Nothobranchius furzeri: one gene and its partners. The protein of the gene in region 4 interacts with the protein of the main gene of each other region in a pairwise test. Links are inferred from orthologs where the notes say so. Each region holds a gene or a part of one and is shown on either strand. Other genes may lie near its edges.

Evidence for each region.
Region 1: the proteins of meox2a (region 4) and unc45a interact in binary tests that used the Homo sapiens proteins (3 or more experiments, as listed by UniProt). The two-hybrid records come from large-scale screens. The link is inferred for Nothobranchius furzeri from reciprocal best matches to the Homo sapiens genes MEOX2 and UNC45A.
Region 2: the proteins of meox2a (region 4) and chic2 interact in binary tests that used the Homo sapiens proteins (3 or more experiments, as listed by UniProt). The two-hybrid records come from large-scale screens. The link is inferred for Nothobranchius furzeri from reciprocal best matches to the Homo sapiens genes MEOX2 and CHIC2.
Region 3: the proteins of meox2a (region 4) and airim interact in binary tests that used the Homo sapiens proteins (3 or more experiments, as listed by UniProt). The two-hybrid records come from large-scale screens. The link is inferred for Nothobranchius furzeri from reciprocal best matches to the Homo sapiens genes MEOX2 and AIRIM.
Region 5: the proteins of meox2a (region 4) and G patch domain-containing protein 2-like interact in binary tests that used the Homo sapiens proteins (3 or more experiments, as listed by UniProt). The two-hybrid records come from large-scale screens. The link is inferred for Nothobranchius furzeri from reciprocal best matches to the Homo sapiens genes MEOX2 and GPATCH2L.

The regions. Positions count from the first base shown.
Region 1 is NC_091744.1:74,262,984-74,267,846, reverse strand, and holds the start of unc45a (protein unc-45 homolog A), read left to right. Parts: upstream 1-1,560; 5' UTR 1,561-1,698; coding exon 1,699-1,722; intron 1,723-1,822; coding exon 1,823-2,018; intron 2,019-2,906; coding exon 2,907-3,082; intron 3,083-3,158; coding exon 3,159-3,248; intron 3,249-3,335; coding exon 3,336-3,503; intron 3,504-3,592; coding exon 3,593-3,761; intron 3,762-3,884; coding exon 3,885-4,055; intron 4,056-4,149; coding exon 4,150-4,321; intron 4,322-4,408; coding exon 4,409-4,709; intron 4,710-4,784; coding exon 4,785-4,863.
Region 2 is NC_091747.1:75,930,479-75,935,421, forward strand, and holds the start of chic2 (cysteine-rich hydrophobic domain-containing protein 2), read left to right. Parts: upstream 1-1,640; 5' UTR 1,641-1,837; coding exon 1,838-1,968; intron 1,969-4,943.
Region 3 is NC_091759.1:26,720,565-26,724,304, forward strand, and holds airim (AFG2-interacting ribosome maturation factor), read left to right. Parts: upstream 1-1,390; 5' UTR 1,391-1,499; coding exon 1,500-1,756; intron 1,757-2,060; coding exon 2,061-2,234; intron 2,235-2,304; coding exon 2,305-2,423; intron 2,424-2,507; coding exon 2,508-2,548; 3' UTR 2,549-2,737; downstream 2,738-3,740. Other genes in the region: cdca8 (borealin), read right to left, coding at 7-97; cldn35 (claudin-4), read right to left, coding at 2,948-3,631. UniProt on the Homo sapiens protein: Part of the 55LCC heterohexameric ATPase complex which is chromatin-associated and promotes replisome proteostasis to maintain replication fork progression and genome stability.
Region 4 is NC_091745.1:64,687,343-64,691,536, reverse strand, and holds part of meox2a (homeobox protein MOX-2), read left to right. Parts: intron 1-1,926; coding exon 1,927-2,099; intron 2,100-4,194. UniProt on the Homo sapiens protein: Mesodermal transcription factor that plays a key role in somitogenesis and somitogenesis and limb muscle differentiation. Required during limb development for normal appendicular muscle formation and for the normal regulation of myogenic genes.
Region 5 is NC_091758.1:32,642,691-32,647,406, reverse strand, and holds the start of G patch domain-containing protein 2-like, read right to left. Parts: upstream 3,304-4,716; 5' UTR 3,168-3,303; exon of another isoform or gene 3,156-3,167; intron 3,132-3,155; exon of another isoform or gene 3,115-3,131; intron 1,437-3,114; 5' UTR 1,433-1,436; coding exon 777-1,432; intron 1-776.

The DNA of each region.
Region 1 (4,863 bases), on a different chromosome or scaffold from region 4:
GTTTGGAAACTTGACTAAAATAAGTGTCAAGTAAAAAAAAAATGTATATAAACTATCTACAGCAAATGTGATGTGTTTAAAAGTCAAGAAGTCATTAAGCACACACCTGAAATTTGCATCAGCCTTCTGTTAATCAGCTTCATTTGTCAAAAAATAACTCTTTGGGAATCATCTTGTTTTTTTGTTGTTGTTTTTTTACGGAACATGCACTGCTCTGGGTGGCTGCATGTTGGAGTAGCTCTGTTGACTATATGTACGTTTTGCCTTTTCTTGGGCATTTTTTCTTCTAGTTTCTCAAGAAAAACTGTATTTTTTGGACACTTTACTTTTCTGTTTCTGGTGCTGTGAAGCTTGGAGGATTTTTACTGCTATTTTTTAGCTTTTTTCACTTTTTGAGTATTTGTTATGATGTGTAACCATGGCAACAGTCTGGTTTAAAATCAGGAGCAGCTGATTAACATTGGAAAGGCTGAAATAATACCCAAACTGAAGCCACAAATCCCAAATGAGCTAAAACGCAAGAAGCGTGGGTGCAGAGCGGAAGCAAAACGGAGACAGAGGAAAAGGAAATTCAAACCACCTCTTCCATCGATCATAATGGGCAGTGTGAGATCACTGGCCAACAAGATGGAGGAACTCCAAGCCCTTTCAAGGACTCAGCCAGAGTTTTGGCAGTTTCGGAACCACTGGAGGAGATAATGCAAAGAAGGATTCTCCATAGAATCAAGAAAATTATGGACAACCCTGAGCATTCTCTTCACAAGACTGTCCGACAACGGAAGAGTGTCTTCAGTCAGAGGCTTCTTCAGTTTCGCTGCAACACTGACGGCTACTGGAGATCCTTCCTGCCAACAGCCATTGTACAACTCTTTGACGACTTGATCATTATTATTATTCTGAGCTACTACAGCAATCAGTTTCCCTCTGGGATTATTAAAGTATTTTTAATTGAATTGAATTGAATGCTAAAATAATATTTTGTGTGTCAAACTTTGTTATAATTGGCATTTCTACTGAATCAATTAAAGAAATTTGAATATAGTTGTCGTGCCTACGATTAAACGTTAAAAAGACTCAGAAAAATGTTTATATATGTATGTATATATATATATATATATATATATATATATATATATATATATATATATATATAGATAGATAGATAGATAGATAGATAGATAGATAGATAGATAGATAGATAGATAGATAGATAGATAGAATTTTATTGGACAGAAATGTGTTGCAAACAGTAAAAGTCTGTAAAGAAAATCATAAAGTCTGAAAACAACAAGATTACAAAGTGGCTTTAAGATCACCTGGCTGGGACATTTAAACATTTTCCTACATTTAAATTTGAATTTCTGTTTCTTTTGTTACCTGAGAAGTACAACATGTCCCTGTGCAGACTGGGAAAAGCCCCAGGATGTAAATATAACCACAGACATAGACAATATATATGTCTGTGAATATAACCATATAAAGTAAAAGCAGTCGGTGTTTTCCTTTTTTTTCTTTTGTTCAAGCTGCGACAAATAAGAGGGGAGGGGCTTGTGTGAAACGTCATCAATGTGCTACGAACACCTGGAAGCGCAGCAAGATGTTTTACTGAAGTTCACATTGTTAATCACAATTTAGAGAAATAAAAACAACTGTTCCGTCACATTACGACGCGCCGAATTGTGTTGAACGGATCTGAAGATGAGTGGGAGCGAAAAACAAATGGTAAGGAAGCTGAAACGAGCCGTTCGGTTTGTTTATTTCCGATTTTTCTAGAAGTTTCCCGTCCGGGTAACCGTTACTCACCTTTTTTCCCTGAACTCAGGAGGACCCAGCAGCCCTGAAGGAGGAGGGGAACGCTCTCTTTAAGGCAGGAGACATGCAGGGCGCTGTCTGCTGTTACACCAAGGCGTTAAAGCTGACTGACAGCCGGGCTGACGGTGCTGTCCTCTACCGTAACCGCTCCGCCTGCTACCTGAAGCTGGAGGATTTCAGCAAAGCGGAGGCTGATGCCTCCAAAGGTCGGACACTTCTCTTTAATTTGCATAAATAAGAGCGCACAAGTTTCTATGGGGCCATGAAATCGCAGGGACATTTATGAAAGAGACTGTAGATCACCACACATAATAAATATAAAAAGTTACCACGCTAGGTATGTAAACAGTAGGTTATTTAGCAAAATACTCACAAGATTATATCTACTCAAGTAAAATTACTTATGTAAAAAATAAACAGTATAAGTACTGGCTTATTTTCGGTGTTTTTAGTGTTCTTTTTGTCTCATCTTGTATGCAGATCAGAAGTCTGCAGACTTTTCAGATCATCAAATAAAACACATTAACCAATCAGATTAAATAATGCATCAATACAACAGTTTTACTTGATTTTTAAAATAATTAAATTGACCAGTAAATTAAAGCTGTTTACCATTGCCATGGAAACAAATTAATTACTACATTTCCATTTATTTAGTCACACAGAACTCTGCTTATACAAACTGTCCTTTCGGCCTTTAAATTTGATAGTATTAATTTGCATTTAGCTGTTGCTACATCTTTGTGGGCATCACTATGTAACTGGACATCTCACAGTCTGGAAAGCAGATCATTTTGTGGCATGCCTGCCTTTTTCTGAACATGTAGCAGACTCGGTTTGAATCAAAACAATGTGAGATATATTAAATAAAGCCTTGCAAAATACATAAAAGTGAATTCATGGAGATTCCATTTTTCATATTAACAATACCCGGTACAGAGCCTCTACTACCTTCCCAAAACACTTGACAATTAGGAGATTATTGTTTGCTAAGGCTCATTATTCTGGGTATTGTACAAATCGTTCTTTGGTTGAAGCTTTTATTAGATGCACCACTTTAGTAAATGTTTCCAGGTGTTTTCCTTTGTTTGCAGCACTTGATTCTGACCCAGGCGATGTGAAAGCCAGGTTTCGGAGGGCTCAGGCTTTTCAGAAACTCGGTCGGCTCGACCAGGCTTTCCTGGATGCTCAGACGTGTGCGCAGCTCGAGCCTAAAAACAAAGCTTTTCAAGATCTGCTTAGACAACTGGGAACACAGATGCAGCAAAAGGTGATATGAAACTGATTAGGAGTTTTGTCTTGGAAGAAGCAGATGCTAATTTTAGCCCATGTTTGCAACCCTTTAGTCAGCTCAACTAAACTCCACAGATGCACGCGTGCAGCAGATGTTCTCCCTCCTCTTAGATGCTTCTGCTAAAGATTCAGATCGACAGAAGGTGCTAATTGCTCACTTCTCTGTAACTCTTGGTGTGTGTTTTATTGTCAACACTTACTAAATCAGTACAATACGTGCAACTTTTTAGGCAGCTCAGAATCTGGTGGTGTTGTCTCGGGAGGAAGCGGGAGCTGAGCAGATCTTCCGCAACGACGGGATGAAGCTAACTCAGAATCTTCTTCAGTCGAAGCAGGAGGACATTGTGCTTTCTGCTCTCAGGACATTAGTTGGTTTGTGCACGGGACATCAGTCGAGAGTAAGTGTCACCATCAGTGCGGCGTCTTTAAAGTTGTTTATTTGCAGCAGAGTGTTTGCTGATTTTCTTCTGTTGCCTTTTATTTCCAGACGATGGCGATAGTGAATGAACTGGGAATGGACCAGCTGTGTGCGGTAATGGGGTCAGGAGCTTCCACTGTGTCTTTGGCCGCCTGCCACCTCCTGCAGGTGATGTTTGAGGCTTTGACAGAGGGCATGAAAAGAGAGATCAGGGGAAAGGACGAAGCGATCCTTCCTGGTGAGTTTGACTATTTGCTTTTATAATAGGAGCTGGATCCGCTCAAAGCAGATCTACTGTATCATGTTTATAATCATATATTTGATTGTATCCATGTTTAATCTCCATCTGAATTCTACACAGAACCATCTAAGGAGCTGCGTTCAATGTTGCGCCACCTTCTAGAGATGATGCCTGCGCCCGATGTGTCAGGACCGGGCAGGGACAGTGCCATCAACCTCCTTGTTAAACAAGTTCCCCGCAAGTCTTTGAAGCATCCTGACAACTCTCTTGCCTTATGGGTTATAGACCAAGGTAGGAAACTCACCTGCATGCGGTCGTGTGTTCGTCTCATCCTCGTGCATTTACGGTCACAAAAATGTGGAATGTGGTGCCTAATCTCATGCAGGGCTGAAGAAAATCCTGCAGGTGGCTGGGACTGTTCCTGAGCTCTCAGAGGGACCCCCTCTTACGGACAACACTCACATGAGCTGCTCCGTGCTGCTAAGCAAACTCTACGATGACCTGAAGAGTGACAAAGAGAGGGAGAACTTCAGCAAACTGTGTGAAGAGTATATTCAGTAAGTTATTTACAAAAAATATTTCTAGGAGCCTTAATCCACCCCAAATTAAACTCTTAAAATTAATTGTTTTCTTTTTCTGAACAGGCAGCACTTTAGCCAGCATGGGCTGGAAGGAAAGCTGCGTGCCATCCAGACCGTGTCGGTGCTCCTCCAAGGTCCGAGTGACGTGGGGAACAGGACTCTGGAAATGTCAGGAATGATGGATGCTGTGATCTCTCTCTGCGCTTCCAAACATGTAATTCACCAGCAGATAGCGGTGGAGGCTCTTATCCACGCGGCGGGCAAAGCCAAGCGAGCGTCTTTCATCACAGCCAATGGCGTGGCCCTTTTGAAGGACCTCTACAAGAAGAGTGAGAATGATCGTATCCGTGTGAGAGCCCTTGTGGTAAGTGTTGTCGACAGGTGCAGAACATATTTCTAATTAAAGATGGAACCCACAGTTTTGTGTGGGTTGTTACAGGGTTTGTGCAAGCTCGGATCAGCAGGAGGTACAGATTTCAGCATGAAGCAGTTTGCAGAGGGATCCACACTCAAGCTCG
Region 2 (4,943 bases), on a different chromosome or scaffold from region 4:
AGGTGGTGATCAGTTGTCAGCTCTGCTCCTCTCTTCACTCCGGTGTCCTAAACATACGGCCGCAGGTCAGATGATATGACTACAAAGTCTATCATTGACCTGCGACCTTGGCTGCCCTGGTACCAAGTGTACCGGTGGGCATCCTTATGTTCGAACATGGTGTTCGTTATGGCCAAACTGCGGCTTGCACAGAAGTCCAATAACAAAACACCGCTCGAGTTCAGATTAGGTGGGCCGTTCCTCCCAATCACACCCCTCCAGGTCAAGATGTCATTGCCCACGTGAGCATTGAAGTCCCCCAGCAGGACAATGGAGTCCCCTGATGGAGCACTATCTAGCACTCGTCCCAGGGACTCCAAAAAGGGTGGGTACTCTGAACTGATATTTGGCCCATAAGCACAAACAACAGTCAGGACCCGTTCCCCGACCCGAAGGCACAGGGAAGCTACCTTCTCATCCCCCAGGGTAAACCCCAACACACAGGCAGAGAGACTTGGGGTTAACAAAAAGCCAACCCCAGCCCTCCGCCTCTCACCCGGGTGCAACTCCAGCAAAGGAGAGTGTCCCACCCCTCTCAAGGACTTGGGTTCCAGAGCCAATGCTATGTGTCGAGGTGAGTCCGACTATATCTAGCCGGTACCGCTCAACCTCTGCCACAAGCTCCTGCTCCTTCCCCGCCAGTGAGGTGACGTTCCATGTCCCAAAGTCCAGTTTCCTTGTCCGGGGATCGGACCACCAAGGCTCCCACCTTGGTCTGTCACCCGATCCACACTGCACCGGACCCTTCATGCTCCTCCTGCAGGTGGTGGGTCCACAGTTGGATGAGCCCATGTATCCGGTTCGGGCTGGGCCCGGTCAGGCCCCATGGGCGAAAGCCCGGCCACCAAGCGTTCGCTCACGGGCCTCAACCCCAGGCCTGGCTCCAGGGTGGGACCCCGGTAAGTTAACCCTCCGGGCCGGGTACTCCGACTCTTTGAATTTACATCCATGAAAGATCCTTTGAACCTTTCTTTGTCTCACCCTTCACCTAAGACCAATTTGTCATGGGAGACCCTACCAGGGGCACAAAGTGCCACAGACAACATAGCTCCTAGGATCATTAGGGCACTGAAACTCCTCCACCACGATAAGGTGACGGTTCAAGGAGTAGTAGGTAATATTGAATAAACTAATTTAGTTATAACGTTTTATCAGCAGGCGTGTGTAATTTCTAATCAAATATATTATATCTATAAAAAAACATCCGAAAGTGAATTTCCAAAAAACAAGTACAACTATCACCAAGAAAGAAATGAGAATGAGGTAAACATGTTTTTAACAAATGAAATAAAAAAGGAACAAAAGACGAATAGAATTTTTAAGAGTAGAAAACCAAAATGAAAATGTGATTTTATTCTATTTTTACCATTTTTTCCCCTTGCCTTATTTATTATGATATATTTTTTGCCATGTTTATTTATTTTTAAGCTCTTTATTTCTGTTAGTCTGGATTCAGGCGAATATGGTTATATTCATTAATAATTTTTTTTTCTTTATGTGTGTGTGTGTGTCAAATTCAGAAAAAGGAAACAAAAACTAAGTAACAATTTATTTGAGTGACTATGATAGAAACTACAAACAAAAAGACGTAAGGACGTCGGTCCCACTTCCGGTGTCGTACAGCTACTGCGGCGGATGTTGATGTTTTGTTAGTAGCTCGCCTCGGACAGCGATGGGAGCTACTTGATATTTTTGTGGTCATCCTCTCTGTTCAGTGCGCGTTTCTCTGAGAGGTTTCCGTGGTTCTCGGTGTCGTTTCTCTCCCGGTGTCTTTACCGGGGTGAGATCGAGTCGGGAGATGATGGAGGACTTTGATGAGATCTACGAAGAGGAGGAAGAAGAAGAGGACGAGGACAGGGCCGCGGAAGAGCAGCTCCTCAAGTATGCTCCGGACCCGGTGGTGGTGCGAGGCTCCGGCCACGCTACTGTGTAAGCTACCGGCGGGACTGGCGGGGATCGTTCCCGGTAAAAGACAACTTGTCGGGGTGTGAGGGGAAACTTGCGGACTAGCTGGTGACTTAGCCGAGTTAGCTAGCTGCTAACAACTGGCTACAGTGAGCAGTTAGAGGACGGCGGTGAAGAGTTTGTTTTGTTTTCTCATCGTGAATTCACCATAATAATTGTGTTATTTTAGCCACTGACAAGTCAGCCCGCTGTTGATACCAACGGCACTCTTTGTCGAGCATTCAGCATTGTTTTTTAATTATAAAAACAAAGTTACTGTGGTTAACTATATTTACTAACGTCCGTTTCATTCCTCATATGTAACAGCTGGACTCAGTTTCCCGAATCTTGTCTCTTCCGGTCAGACTTTTTCGAGTTTAGACGGTTTACACATAAAAAATACTAGATGATACTGTTCACCCAAGCTGCTCCATCTTCTTGGTGTAGATATTCTGAAGCATCTAAAATGTACCTTTTTATGCTGCAAGAGTTTAAAACCTGGCCTAAATTATTTATTTTCTTTCAAATATCTTAAACATTCTGCCAACCCTTTCTAGATGTATAGTCAGTATCTCCAGGCTTTTTGAAGTGGTCTCAAGGTTACTTTAAGGTGCCTTTTCACCAATTTGCTGCCAACTTTTTTGTCCAAAAATAAGCCGCCCTCTGGATTTCAGATCTAGAATCAGTGCAGTTGGTCAGGCCTAGGTTCAGCAACATCATGTGCCCCAAGAATGAGGTCTGCTGAACTTACTGAATAATCAGATTAATCCATCAGTGGGGTTTTTCTTCCCTGATGGCATGTTCCCAGATAACAGTGCCAGGAGCCATCAGTCTCAAACTGTGGAAGAGTGGTTCAGGGAGCACGAGACACATGGATCGTCCACCGCAGAGCCCAGACTATAACATCACTGAGTCTCTGGGGTATGCCAGAAAAGGCTTTGTGCAGCGGTTGGACTCTCAAGGTCTTGGTGGAAAAATAATGCAACACTGTATGAAAAGAAAAACTTGTAAATAAGTGAAGTTAAACATCTGAACAAAGATTGCAATAACCCGAGATGGAGAAAAGATAACTTGTCTGCTTGTTTTGTTCCTGTTTAAATGAAGAGATCAGCTGTGTATCGAATGTGGCAAAAGAATATACTTCACACCACCAGAAACAACATAATGCGGTACTAAAAGCCAGATCAAGACTGAATTTAAGTAGAAAACTCACCCAAGACACATCCAGTGTTATCGCAACATCTTGTTCCATCAGAATGTAGGCGGTTAAAAACTGCTGCCACCTAGCAGACGGAGTGAACTACGCCACACAAACAAATTACAGTAAATGTTTGCATGTAAATTCTCAGTAGAAATCGATACACAGCATTTAATTATTGATTCAGTATCATAAAACAGAATATCACAATATTTCAGTTATATAATCCCTAACATAATCTCTGTTATGTTTACATATTGTATAAAAGCAGAGGCTATGCTGTGAACTGGTTTGTGAATCAGCTGATCTTGTTCTTGTCATTTTCTCTTTTAGTTACAAATTTAGAATCACATGAACCTTCATCCTGCTGTTTAAAGCAAACTAAACCGTAATCGTATGATCAGCTATGCCGTGTTGAGCTTATTTCACTTTATCTGTAGGTTTTCAGTTTAACTCGTAAAACTTCTTTCCGGAGTATTTCTCTTATCCGATGGCTCCATCTAGTGGCTCACAAGCATATCACACAAAAAAATCTGTTGCTCTGTTTAAGATCGCAACTTCACGTATAAATGTGCATCTGTAGCCGACAAACAGATCTAAAACACGTTGTTTTACGAGTATTATTCTCATGTCATGTTGTGTTCTCATATATTTATATTTTAGAGACTTACTTGTCCATGGAAAGTTCATCATCTCTGCATCAGCCGAGGTATTCCTTAAATTTGATGCAAGTAAGAGGTAGTCTAACGCTGTTGGTTAGTTCTGATCGGCACTCAGTTTCCTATTGCACGGAGCTCTGCGGGGCAGGGGGCGTGCTTGGCAAAGATAAATAAATAAATAAAAGACACATTGCTTACATTTTATCACAGTACATGATGAGACAACCGCTTTTATGGATTTCTGAAAAATCATACATCATTTCTGAAAGCGGAAAACTCCAGAAAGCAGCTTTAAAAGGGATGTAAGAAAATATCGATATAACAATGCCATACCATACCAATTTATTTATAAAGCACCATTTCAAAATAGCATGGCAGCTAACCAACCTGCTGTACAGAAAAGAGCCAAATGCTTGAACAAATCAACAAAGCACAATGAAAGCATGAAAATCAGGTAAAATACATAAAAACATAGCATAAATAATCAGGGATAAATATTCCTACTAAAAACAATAGAATAAGAGAGCAGTTAACTGCACTATCAAAAATAAAAATTAATGCGATGAATGATAAAAAACATTTGAAATGGCACAAATAAAACCAAAGACGCTACAAGATTGTGAAAGGTGTTAAAAGTAAGCTACTGAATCATAAAACCTAAATTGAGAAAAATAAACTCGGTGCTGGATTTTCACGTATATCGTGATATTTTTTCTTTTGACATTACAGTGATATTCAAAAGCCATGTATCTAACTTTTGGAAGAATTTACTTGCAAACATTTGTGTATTTTCTTTTCTTTTGGTGCAGTTCAAACGCCAACCACTAGTTGGCAGCAATGTGCAATGGGTTTTGTTTCCACCATGGAAATGGAAATCTCTCTATTGTGGTTCATATACCTCATGTTTATGTGTTTAGCAGACACTTTTTTCCTAAGCGACTGACGCCGGGGACACACCGGCTGCCGAAGAGCCGCGAAAAGGGGACCGCCTTCATTCGGCGCCCTTGTTATCCTATTCTATAGACCACATGGGCCGCTGAAGCGCCCCGGCACGTTCCCGCGCACGTCTGCGCTCCAGCCTGCGCCGTGCAGCGATCGTTTCG
Region 3 (3,740 bases), on a different chromosome or scaffold from region 4:
CTGCACCTTCGCTGTCGTAGTCGTGCAGAAAAGCTTCGATCTTCGCGACCTTCGGGTTGTTCTTCTGCTGCCTGGTGGTTCTCTTCCGTGGAGCCATGTCAGCGCGGAGTGGAAGGATTTAGTCCAGAGAGTCTGAAACCGTTTCACAGAAGATAAGCTTTAGCTAAAAGAGCAGGCACGAGGACGTTATCCGCTGACTGCGCTAGCTAGTTATTTAGCATCAGGGCTTCGCGCGGATTTTTCTACCGACCATTTATTCACACATCTTATAAAATTGATAAAACATCACTTTAATCCGATTTATCAGCCTTAAATTAGAGAAAAGTCACCTGCGTTTCTTTTGCCGCTTACTTCTTCCTACTAGACGTTTTAAAATTCTGCGCTGGGACACGTCAGCCAATGAGGACGTACGTTTTTACTGCGTCACAACACTGAGGCGTTTACCAGCGCTTGGCAAACGTGCATTACTGCCATCACGTGGCTTGGGGTGTAGTAACAGTCACGTTATTAGGGTACTCGGTGACAACAGCCATATGTACATAAATGTTTATGTGTTGTATTTATGTTTATTATATAAACATAAATGTTTATATATACATATCTATGGCAACAGCTGTCTCTGTGGCTCGCGCTGCACGCAGAGCTCTGACGGAAACTTTGTTTCACCAACAAACGTTCCGTTCTTCCTCGTTGTGAGTTTCTATTGGATCAATATCTTTATGAATTGGTCCTTGATCGGGACTTAAAGAACAGCTAAATATGAATAGGTGTGTGTAGGTTTTGACTTACGTGTTATAAACAGGAAGATTGTTACTGAATGATTAATGTGTTCATTCTATCATTTTCTTTTACAAGAACAAAGTTTACTGAAGCTCATTCTTTCATTTCAGTAGTTTTATTCCGTTTGTAAAACTGAACATTGTTAAATGTAAAGGGTGGAAAATAAACGCTGTGGTCTTTAACGTGTTTAAGCGCCATTAAAACTGTGTTTATTATTTATTAACAGGGTGTACGTTATGTTCCGACACGCACTGCTGTCTTCATGGATAAATAAAAACATTCCTAACTACTGGATCTTTTCCATGCTACGTTCACTGACAACGTATAAAGTAGGAATTTCCTACACTTGTTACATAAAACATACTTTTGAACTGTAGCCGTAACTTTGCTGAATTCCGTGTTTGTCAAATGACGTAATCCTGTCTTTAGACTATATAAAACATTAAAATTGCATCATTTAGAATTACTGCCGACTACAAATGAATCACAGGACTAGAGTTTAGATCACCCTAACGACTGCACCCCCCACACGTGTTGTTTATATGGTCAACGGTGATGGAGTTGAAATGGAGCTCGAGTGAGAGCTCGGACTTCTGAGGTGCCCTGAACGCATCATAAGTCATTGTTTACATCCGGAGACCGGAAGCGGGCTCTAGACGTGAGCTGCCGCGTGGAGACGTGCGTGAAGTAGGAACGGGTTCGAGCAGGAGAACCGGAGCATGTCCGAGCCGCTGCAGGAGGCGCTGAGGAGGAGCTTCGTGAGTCTGGAGAAGCAGCGGGAGGTCTGGAGGAGCGTGTTGGAGGAGTGCAGCCCGCTCATGGAGGCTCTGGGGAACCTGGCGGAGCAGATGAGCGCGCTGACCCGCGTCCAGCTGCTCGACACGCCGCTCCGAGTCTTCCCGCAGCTGGAGGAGCTGCTGCGGGTCAAGCTGCTGCAGGCTGCGGACACGGTGCTCCAGAGGCTCGGTGAGAACATGTGAGTCAGAGCCCTCAGAACCACGCTGGCGGGAAATAAACGTACGTCAGCGTTAGTTATTGTCATCAATAATCGGAGCTTCGGGGTGATACTGACATCTAGTGGTCAGAAGTAGAACAACACCCGTTCCAGGGTTATGATGGAGCGCATGCGCGTTGGCTATCCATCTTAGCTGGACGTTATAACTATGATCCACTTACTTTTTAATTGTTTCTCCCATTTTATTCTCATCTTTTTAGTTATTTATTGTGAAGCAGCTCGTGACCCATCTTCTGACGGTCCATGTGTTGTGTTCCTCCTCCAGGTGCCGTCTGCAGTCCATCAGAGATTCCATCAGTAGCCAGGCCTCTGCTCTCCTGCAGCAGTACCAGCAGAGTTCTGTGGACCTGACGATGCTGACGGAGCGCTCGGCCACCGTCCCGTCTCTGGCCGACATGCTGCAGTGGATCCAGGACGCTGAGCGCTTCTACAGGCAGCAGTATCCTTCCTGTGGGCCTCCTGGCATTCCCGTTATCCTGCTGTTGTCGTTTCCCTGAACTCATCTTCAGATTCCTACAGAGGAAAGCTCTGCTGCAGACGCTGAGGCCGGACCAACTCCTTCTGCTGGAATCTGCTCCCAAAAGGTGGAAATCTCTGGAGTCTCCGAGTGCCGATCAACAGATCACAGGTGAGTCGTGACACGTGGACCAGAGCCCACCCCCATGTTCAGGTCTCCCAACGGTCCGATTTGCTGGATTTTGTCTCTTTTCAGATTCACTCTGCAGACTCTCTCTCTTCATCCAGCCTCAGTGAGCTAGCGAGGGTTCGCTGACCCGACCCGACCCGACCCGAGGACACAAGACGCTTCCAGCTCTTAATGTCAAACGCTTTTATTTGAAAACCAGAAGTTTGTGTGAAGATCTGGAGAGATTACAGCCTGCACCGCACACGCTAACAAGCTAGCACGCCAAATAGTTCAGTCTCTGTCACACACACACACACTCACACACACACACACACACACTCACACACACACACACACACACACACACACACACTCTCACACACACTCTCACACACACTCTCACACACACACACACACACACACACTCTCACACACACACACACACACACTCACACACTCACACACACAGTCCTGTGTGTAAATAAATAAATAAATAAAGGGTCACTCTGTTAGTGGTACCCCCCCCCCTAGACGTACTCCTTCAGAGGGACGTTGTTGGAGATGATGGGTTTCGGTGGTTCCGGTGCGGGCGAGTTGGCGAAACTCCGGCCGACGTAGCCGCGACGGTACCGGCCGCCCCGCTCCATCAGCGGACAGGTGCTGCTCAGCACGGCGCCGCTGATCATCAGGATGACGGCGGCGGCCCAGCCCAGGTAGATGGCCTGACCCAGCTCCCGCTTGTGCATGACGGGAACGTTGGGGTTGTAGAAGTCCTGGACCACCGTGTTGGCGGTCCAGGAGACCGGGATCAGAACACACAGGCCGGTGACGATGAAGAGAATTCCTCCTGCCAGCGCGATTCCCGCTTTGGCCCGGCGGTCGTCTCCGGCGCAGGTGGTGCACTTCATTCCGCAGCAGGACACGGTGCAGGACAGCCAGCCCATGAAGATGGCGAGGCACATGAGGGCGCGAGCGGCCTGGATGTCCGGCGGCAGCGCCAACATGGAGTCGTAGGTCTTACACTGCATGTGACCCGTGGTCTGGTAGATGCAGTTCATCCAGATGCCCTCCCACTTCATCTCCGACGTCAGGATGTTGCTGCCGATGAAAGCCGACACCTTCCACTGAGGCAGCGCCGTGACGGCGATCGCCATGATCCAGCCCGTCACCGCGCACGTGAAGCTGATCAGCTGCATCCCCGTGTTCACCATGGCGACGGCTGCTGGCGGGAGGCTCTGTGCGTCGGCTCGGGTTCTCTGATCCCCCTTCTCTTTCCTTTGATCGGAATGTCAGAAAGCCTTCAGCCTCGTCCTCCTCCTC
Region 4 (4,194 bases):
GTCTTTGCTGAGTTGATAGTGCTGCGGAGGGAGTGGTCGTCCTTTAAAAAGTTCAGAGTTTTCTGACAGAAACAATAAAAGATGCTTTTTTGGATGAGGTGTTGTTATAAAAAGTGCAAGCGTGAGGTGCCAGAGTCTTCTCGCTGGCACTAAGAGTCGCTCTGAAGAAGAAGACGTCACACTGTCATTTAACGTTCATAGACTCACCCATCTTGAATCGCCACGGGGACGGCTGTTGTAGGTTTAGCATCCAGGAAACAGCAGAGAACGTCTCAGCTAGTAGAAGCTAACTGTTAGCATTAGCAACTCCACCACATGGCAGAACTCCAAACAGCTTGTGTTATTAGTGGCGATAAAACGTCCATGTCGCAGAGCGAATGGAGTCATTCCTGACGTCTGAAGCTACTTTCTCCTCTGGCTAAATTATCCATGCTGAAACAGGCGCACCGGAGCTTTTTTTCCCCCAGAGTATGACTTACGAAGCGTTCATTTCTACTAAGAAATATGAGTGAAGGACCTCTTGAAAAAAGCAAATATTTCTTTTCACTTGCTCTTATTTTTTTCAAGAGGGTCCCTGTTGAACTTGAGTTCATTAGAGAACCCTGAGCGGCGCTCCCTGTCTGGGTGTATTCTCCCTAAATTATTCCTCCTTTTTTGTGGAGAGATGAAAGTTTCGGCGAGGACCTAATTGCTGTGGTGGAGCGGCGGTGCCATAAAAGCTCGCCGCTCCTTTTAACTCCAGGCCTGGTCTGAAGCGACTGGCTGCATTATACTTTTATTTCTTTTTTACACGTCTGCGTGAACCAGAGGGAGTGGGTCTGAGGACGTGATTCAGTCAGCCACTTGGTTTAAAAATACAGGGGGGGGCAAGGTCAAAGGTGAGCCAGACACAAGCTGCAGGTCAACAAAGGCCGTTTTCCATTTCTTACCCCTTATATGTGAATTCCTGCAGTTTCTGCTTCTGTTTGCTTGCCTTCTGCTCTAAATCTAACTTTTGTAGAGCAGCTCGGTCTCTTCTTCTCGTTGTTTTGCTGCTCTGGAAAAGTCAGGCCCAATAAGACAGAACCAGCAGGCCTCCATTACGTGTGTCTGGCTCAGAGCTGCAGGACTATTTACAGTTTTGTTCGACGCAGACTGGCAGAGTTAAAATTCACGGGACCACAGATGAGTTTCCGTACAATTGCTGCTGCTTTAAGTCCCACGAGCATCTGAATTGTGTCCAGCAGAGCCCACAAGAGCTGCTTTTAACAGGAATCATTTGAAAGGCAAATTAACCATATGTGTTTTCTTTGGAGGGGTTCTGGAAACACGAGGAAAACTGGATTGTTGTAGATTGATGGTGATGAAGCAGGAATTTGTTATTTCTCTCCTGCAAGTGTACAATCTGTTTTTGTCTTGACTTTAGTCCTTTTTCTCTAGTCTGGGATTGTTTTCCTTTCCACACACATCTAAATATAACTTTTATGATGCCAATATATTTACTGACTTTGGGAACTCAGTGATAAATAGCTGGAAGGGACAGAAAATGATGATTTTTCAGCTTTTCTGAGACTTTTGCTCCCCGTCTGGTGAAGTCAAAGCAGCAAATATCTTTTCAAACTCAGACAAATTAAATCCATGCTGGTCGTGTAAAAGCCGGCGTATTGTCCCGACACAGCTGCTGCAGTCAGACACACATGTGCTGCCGCCCATGAGTCCTTCCACCCACTTAAAGTATTCATAAACAACGACTGAACAATAAAACGTGACTGACAGCTCTGATTGTTTCTCTTAACTTTGCCGTTTCTTTCTCACCCTTGCAGCCGCACCTGCCGCAAAGCCTTTGCCTTGGTGTTTTTCATTTGTTTTTTATTTGATTCTTCTATTTTTGCTGCATATAAATCTGCCCCTGAGCACAGCAGAAACCTGTGTGGTGTTTGGTTTCAGAGTCCCAGGACGGGAATTACAAGCCAGACGTGAGCAGCAAGCCCAGGAAGGAGCGGACAGCATTCACCAAGGAGCAAATCCGAGAGCTGGAGGCTGAGTTCGCCCACCACAACTACCTGACCCGGCTACGGCGCTACGAGATCGCCGTCAACCTCGACCTCACTGAAAGACAAGTATGTTCCCGTGAGCTGCAGGTTGCCCCCGCCCCCAGGGTTTAGGCGTAGCTGAACCCTCCATTACCACATTAAGGCCATGTTGGGAAAACAGAAGCACCCTCGGAACTTTGAGGAGACTTTTCACTCGCTACCGTGTTTTGGCAACTTTGCTATGAGGGGTTATTGTGCTCCAGATGTGGCGGTGTCAGAGGACTATCATATTCCAGATGTTCCTGTCTATTCTTTCAGGGCCAGCCTGCAGTCACGACAGGGAGACGGGCCGGAGGAAGCGCTGTCTAGCAGGCCACTTCCTCTCTCACGCGACCTGTGCAGCTACAAATTGGTCTCCAAGCGTGGGACGCTCGCTTTCAAACGCAGGCAGACGAAATAAATAACAGGAGACAAATGGACGGAGGTGGGGGGGGGGGGGGGGGGGGGCGTAATGCTGGTTGATCTATGACACCTCTTTGGAAGCCGTACCTCAAAAGTAATTGACACCACGCCAGTGATTTTTGTACCATAGAGAATTGACAAAGAGTTTGGAAATGCTTCTGGAGTTTCAGGTGCTGCCTGAGAGTTTGATACCTCGCACACATTCAGGCAAAACAATATAAAAAGACAGGCCAAGACGCTTGCTCAAAAGCCTTTTGAGTCAGAAATACTTTTTATGGTTGTTTTTTGAAGATTAGGTTTACAGATGCCACTGCCAGCTATTGTTCTGCAGCAGAAATGTTTGCAACAGCTGCACCAATATACAAAAGAACAGACAGAAAGTCTTTATTGCAGCAGAATCACATAAACTCCCACAGCACAGTGGGTCTGTGAATGGTGCGGTCTTCCAAGAAGCCAACAAAACAAAACCTGTAGGGAAGATCAGTGACAGTTAGGATAGATGAAAACCAAAAACCTCACTTTTCTTGGATTGTAAACATGTTTCCTATAGGATTCCCACAATCTGCCAGCTTTTACAACGCTAAATCTACTAATGCTATAACATTTTGATTCACCCAATCACAAAAATAAAGACACACAGGGATTGAAGCAGTTAAAACATGATCCAGTATACTGTTGAATAATCTGAAGCTTATTTCAATTTCCAAAGAAGGCGTTTAAAGAGAAACTAAACAGTTTTGGCTTGCTTTTAGCACCCCCTAGTGCTTGTTAGTAAAAACCGAAAGTAAAACTTATCTCCTCGCTGTGCGTTTGTCTTTTTAACTCTTCATTTAACAGCTGAAATGTCTCACCAGCCTTACAAGAACAGTTCATCACTAAATTAAACAAATCAGCTGTGTTCATGATCTAAAACATACAGGAAACATGCTGGAAGCAGACTGCAGTGCCAGGCGCGCCAGCTCCACTTTACTAAGTCCAAAAGAGAGCGGCCTGCCACTCTGAAGTTGAAAGAGTGGTATCCTGGCCACTAGGGATGTAAGAAAATATCAAAATGGCAATACATTGTGATATTTCATCCTGTGATATTTAAAAGCCTTGTATCAAAATTTAGGAAGAATTAACATGCAAACATTTGTGTATTTTCTTTTCTTTTGGTGCAATTCAAACACCGACTGCTAGTTGGCATCAGTGTGCAATGGGTTTTGTTTTCCCCATTGAAATGTAATTCCCTCTATTATGGTTCCGATACCTCATGTTAAACATGTTAAGTATCAGTTCGGACTGTTTATTGATTTTTCCTACCATAAATTCAGTTTTAAAAATTCGCTAATATCGTCTGGCTGAATGCATCGCAATATATATCGTATCGTATCATCTCCCCTGTATCGTGATACGTATTGCATCACCAGAATGTCACCATTACACATCCCTAGCTACAGAGAGCAGTGGGTTCTGAGTGACTTTTCATTAACCCTGTAAAGGGTCATTTTAGCACATACTGGCTCAAGAAAATAATTTAAAAATATGAAAAAGTTACAAAATATCCCTTTAAACAATAAGCTAAAGTTTAGACTGAGGCCTAGTCCACACGTAGCTGGTTTTTTTTAAACGAATATCCGCCCCTCCAAAAACTTGCATCCACACCACCTCGTTTAAAAAAAAAACTCTGTCCACACGTACCCGGATAAATACGTTGTTAAGGACATGCCAGACCTGTAGG
Region 5 (4,716 bases), on a different chromosome or scaffold from region 4:
CAGGGAATGCCTTGGGGGTCCCACAAAGGAGCTGGTGGAGGAAGGTGGGGAGAGGGCACTCTGCTGCCCCCTGAGGGCTGTTGCATTAAAGAAAACTTCTCAACCTTACTGGATAAGTGGTTTCTCTTTCAGTGCAGCAAGTAAATCTACACAGATTATCATTTGTAATCTGATGTTAAGGCATCCAAATTCTCATTGCAGCGCTTTACTCTAATGGAGTTTCATGCAGTGACTTACCTTTCTATCAACGTACTGAGTGTGTATTGCATTGATTGCTTCACTGTAATAATATATTGTCCCTCTCTGTAAGTTAAAGCCACATTTAGGTTTGCTAAATGAAATGCACACAGGAGGGTGAAAGCTGGGACTGTGGGACAGTCACAGCTTTAATTACCCAGCCAAAGACGGGCATATATTTCAAAACAAATCAATACCTCACCAAGTCACTAATTTATTTGTGACAATAGTTCTCAAAAGGAAATAATGAGCTCTCAGACGCCCGAGGGCAGAGCTATCAAAGATGCCCTCCCTGATGATCATTTCAGATATAAGAGATTAGAGACCATCATTCATTTTTAATGCCAAATCGGCACTTTAAGATAATAGGGTTGTTGCTTTTTTCTGTCTTGTTAGAAACTTATGCTAAATATCGACAAGTAGCTCAAGGAAAAGCAGTATTGTTTTTTTGGTCACTTTTAAAAAATGTTCCATTTGAAAGTACTTTTAATACATTTCTGTTATTAACTTATAATGCGGTCTAAAAGTGATGACATTACCCATCAGACATGTTTTCGTCCGCAGCATCTCTGTGTTCTTTGCCCATCTTTCTCTTCCAGCACTCGTTTCCCATCAGTCTGCCTCCTTCAGTCTGTTTCTCTGCTCCCATCCATCCACTCGACCTCCTCTTCGATCCTGACAGACGCTGCACCTTAGTTGGCCTTTGCCTCCTCTTCCCATTGTTCCTCACGTGTAATTTCTGCTGAAATCTCACCCTCACATCTGGGGTCATACGCTTGACCTTCCTGCGCCTCCTGAGTGGCTGCCCCGGATTACTCTCAGTGAAGGAATCAGACTCAGGCCAGGAGGGATGCCTCGACCGGACGGGGCTTCTAATGACACAAGGCCAGTGGTCAGTTGTAGTTTCATCGTCTGAGTCGCTGTAGTTGGCCACAGATGCATTTAAAGAGGACAGGTTCTCTCTGTAATCTTTAGCTTCATCCAGGCTGGACTCAGAGGCCTCAATCCAGCATCGTCTACGTGCCGTCGGGTACACGGAGGACTCGTGAAGGCGTTTACGACCCCGTCGGCGGCGGATCTGCCGGCGATGCTGCAGCGGACTTATGACCATCTCCTCCCACAGCTCCCCGAGCTTGCTCTGCTCCGAGGCCTGCTCCAGTGCAGAAACCAGGTCCTGCACCAGCTCATCCATCATGATGCTGGAAACAGAAACACCACAAAAGAAACACTTATACTCCACAAGCAAACTAATATAGGAGTTCATATTAGGTGAGTTCTTGCTGTGTCGTGGTTCTAATTCCATGCTGTCGTTCTTTTTTTAAAACACAGAAACGGTTCCGTTACCTGTTTTGTCGCTACGTTTCGTCTGCGGCTGCAGACTTCCTCAGGCTGACGCTGATGGAGGCGTCACTTCCTTCTCCGTTTATCCGCGGGCAGCAGAGGACGTTGTCGCCCTCTGCTGCCCGCTCTCCCCTCTCCGACGATGCAGTCCCATGTGCGGTCCAACATGTAAACTCCATTGTCCCTGTTCATGGTCCCACATCCACGTCTCCTTATCTCGATTGCTTCTATGTATGTTTTATTGCAGAGTTTGCATGGGATTTCGTAAACATTCGTATACATCGTAGAAATCGGACGACAACCCAACACACGAACAATAAAACATAGAAAGGAGTGTGAGAAAGAGGCAAGTAGAAAACACACGAGAGCAGCAAAAGAAGAAGCAGAAAGCACAATAAAGAAGTCAGCCGTAACAGATCACTGCATAAGAGAAAACCATATAATGGACTGGGACAACACACGGATCATAAACAACAAACAACAAAAATACAAAAGATGGATTAAAGAAGCAATCGAGATAAGGAGACGTGGATGTGGGACCATGAACAGGGACGATGGAGTTTACACGTTGGACCGCGCATGGGACTGCATCGTCAGAGAGGGGAGAGCGAGCAGCAGAGGGCGACAACGTCCTCTGCTGCTCGCGGATAAACAGAGAAGGAAGTGACGCCTCCATCAGCGTCAGCCTGAGGAAGTCTGCAGCCGCAGACGAAACGTAGTGGAAAAACAGGTAACGAAACTGTTTCTGTGTTTAAAAAAAAAAAGAACGACAGCATGGTAATATAGGAGTTTATTTGAAACACAAGTGAAACACATCGTCTATATATGATCACTAGTTATGTTTTATAAATCTGAAAGGATAAACTAAAACATTCCTTCTGTTTGCCTATTTATTGATTCATCTATGTAATTGTCTTTCGTGAAGACTCACATAGCATTTTATTGAGTATTTCTACATTAGAAGACGTTATCCAGATCAGGTACGATTAACCAAAACAAACACTCCTATTTATAAAATTTATTTTAACCCAAGAGAGCCAAACCATCCCGGAAACTGATCAACCTTATAGTATCAAACAAACCCAACAATTTTTTTTAAAAATATCATGAGATTTTCCATCATTTTCATCCTTTTTTTTTTAAATTTATTTCTGTTTCATGTTGCAGGCTGATGTCACCCTACAGTCCAGCAGCAAAATGGCATTGATAAAGCTCACGTAGGAGGAGGTGCGTCTTTGTTGATCGTATTTGTGAAATAAGGCCTTTAAACGCGCGTGCGCATCACCAGCAGCTCGAAAACGTGGAAGCCGTTAGTGCAAAACGCGGTCGAGTCTTTGCAGCGTTACTGCAGCAAAACAATAGCAGAGGCAGGCTGGAGTATCTGCGTGTTGCATAACAGCTCATATCATGTGAGCTCAGCACAAGGAGGAGGAGAAAAAGCACAGCCACACAGCTCCGAACTATCGGCAACAAAGCAGCCGTTTCTGAGCGTTTGACCGCGGCCACACGGATACAGAGACGACGGTGAATATTTACTGTAGTCATTTCATAACAGCGTAGGGCAAAGCCCGCCGTACCCGAGCACTCACCAGTCGCAGCTTGTCTTGTTTTGTTTTCAGCACACAGCTGGGACAACAGACGCACCTTCCGCCCAGTGATCCAGCCAATCCGGTGGCTCCGCTGCGGAATGACGTCATTCCAAAACAGCCCGCAGTAGCAGGGAGCCAAAATTCAGCCTTGGAGGATGCAGATAACAAGCTGACCACCATCATTACGTCATTAGATTAAGATATAGCCACAGTTCTGCTGACATTTACATTAATAATTTACTAGGATTAGATTGTGGATTAAAATGTAGTAAAGGGCTTTATTGTTCCCAAGAGGGAAATGGTTATAGTATTTGTGAGACCCATCAAAGCCTTACATGTTTGCTGTGCAAAATCACGCACACATACAGGACACACATTTTTCTGCTTAAACAAATAATTTTACAAGCTAATTTAAAAAAATCCATGCTTGCAACAGCAGATTACCAAACAATCTGCAGAGACAGTAGGCAAATCCTTCAGGCTTTAAAAGGGACTTATTATAACTTTTTTATCGTGAAGTTCTTTGCACAAAATCTCTCTCACATTAAGCAATTTCAGCAGTTTTATTCTTGACAGTTTCAGTACCTTCTAGCATAAGCAGTTTCAGTGTTCTTTCACTTTATGAAAAGAAGCAGAAGCTGGCCACGCCCACCCATCCCTGATCAGGCTGCTATGAGAAGCTCCTATATCCAGAAGAGCTTGTAGTACCTGTTGCTCTATTCTATTTAATTTCCCTATTTGTGACATCACAAACAGAGACTTTTTGAAACCACTTGTTTTAGGCACATGACTCCTAAAACCAGTTACCAACAGAAAATGGATCGACAAGTTTCTTTCGATTCTTCGGCATGAAATATTGTTGGGGGGGGGGGGGGGGTGAGAGCATGTGAAGAGGGTCAGATGATGTGTGTGTCTTATGCTCAGTGTGTGTTGGCAGTCCTGGTAAAACCGCTTTCAACCAGTAGGAGGAAAAGCAGGAAACTTTTGTTTTGTGTGTGATTGTGGTTATGGTTGTGTTTTTACATTTACATACATAGAAATTGAGCATTTTATTGAATCTGATGTGCAATCGACTGGGGAACTTAAATAACTTCCTTCAGTCCTTCATAATAAGAGTCTAAAACTTACACATTTACCACAAAATATGTAAATTATGCAATCTGTCAGGAATATTTAATTGAAAAATCCCAAAGATTTTTAAATACCCTTGCGTCTGCGAGAGCTAGACAGCTTGTTGTTATTTGTTGCTAAAACTTCCACAGCTTTAGATCGAGTGAACCAAGTTCTTACTGTTCTAGAAACAAAAGTTTAGGGTGAGAATTTTTACATTTACATCAGTTATTTAAAGAGCAAGTCAACCCCTACCAGAGTCTAACTCCACTCCCACTTCATGTTTGAAAAATGCAACACGTGCTGTTGCCTGGCAGACCGTGAGGGCGGAGCCGCTAACAAACACACACTCAGGCTCACAACAGCATTGTGACATCATAATGTACCAGTTTACATCATAGCATACTTCTTAGCCAATAGCAGTGGCAGATTTAAATTA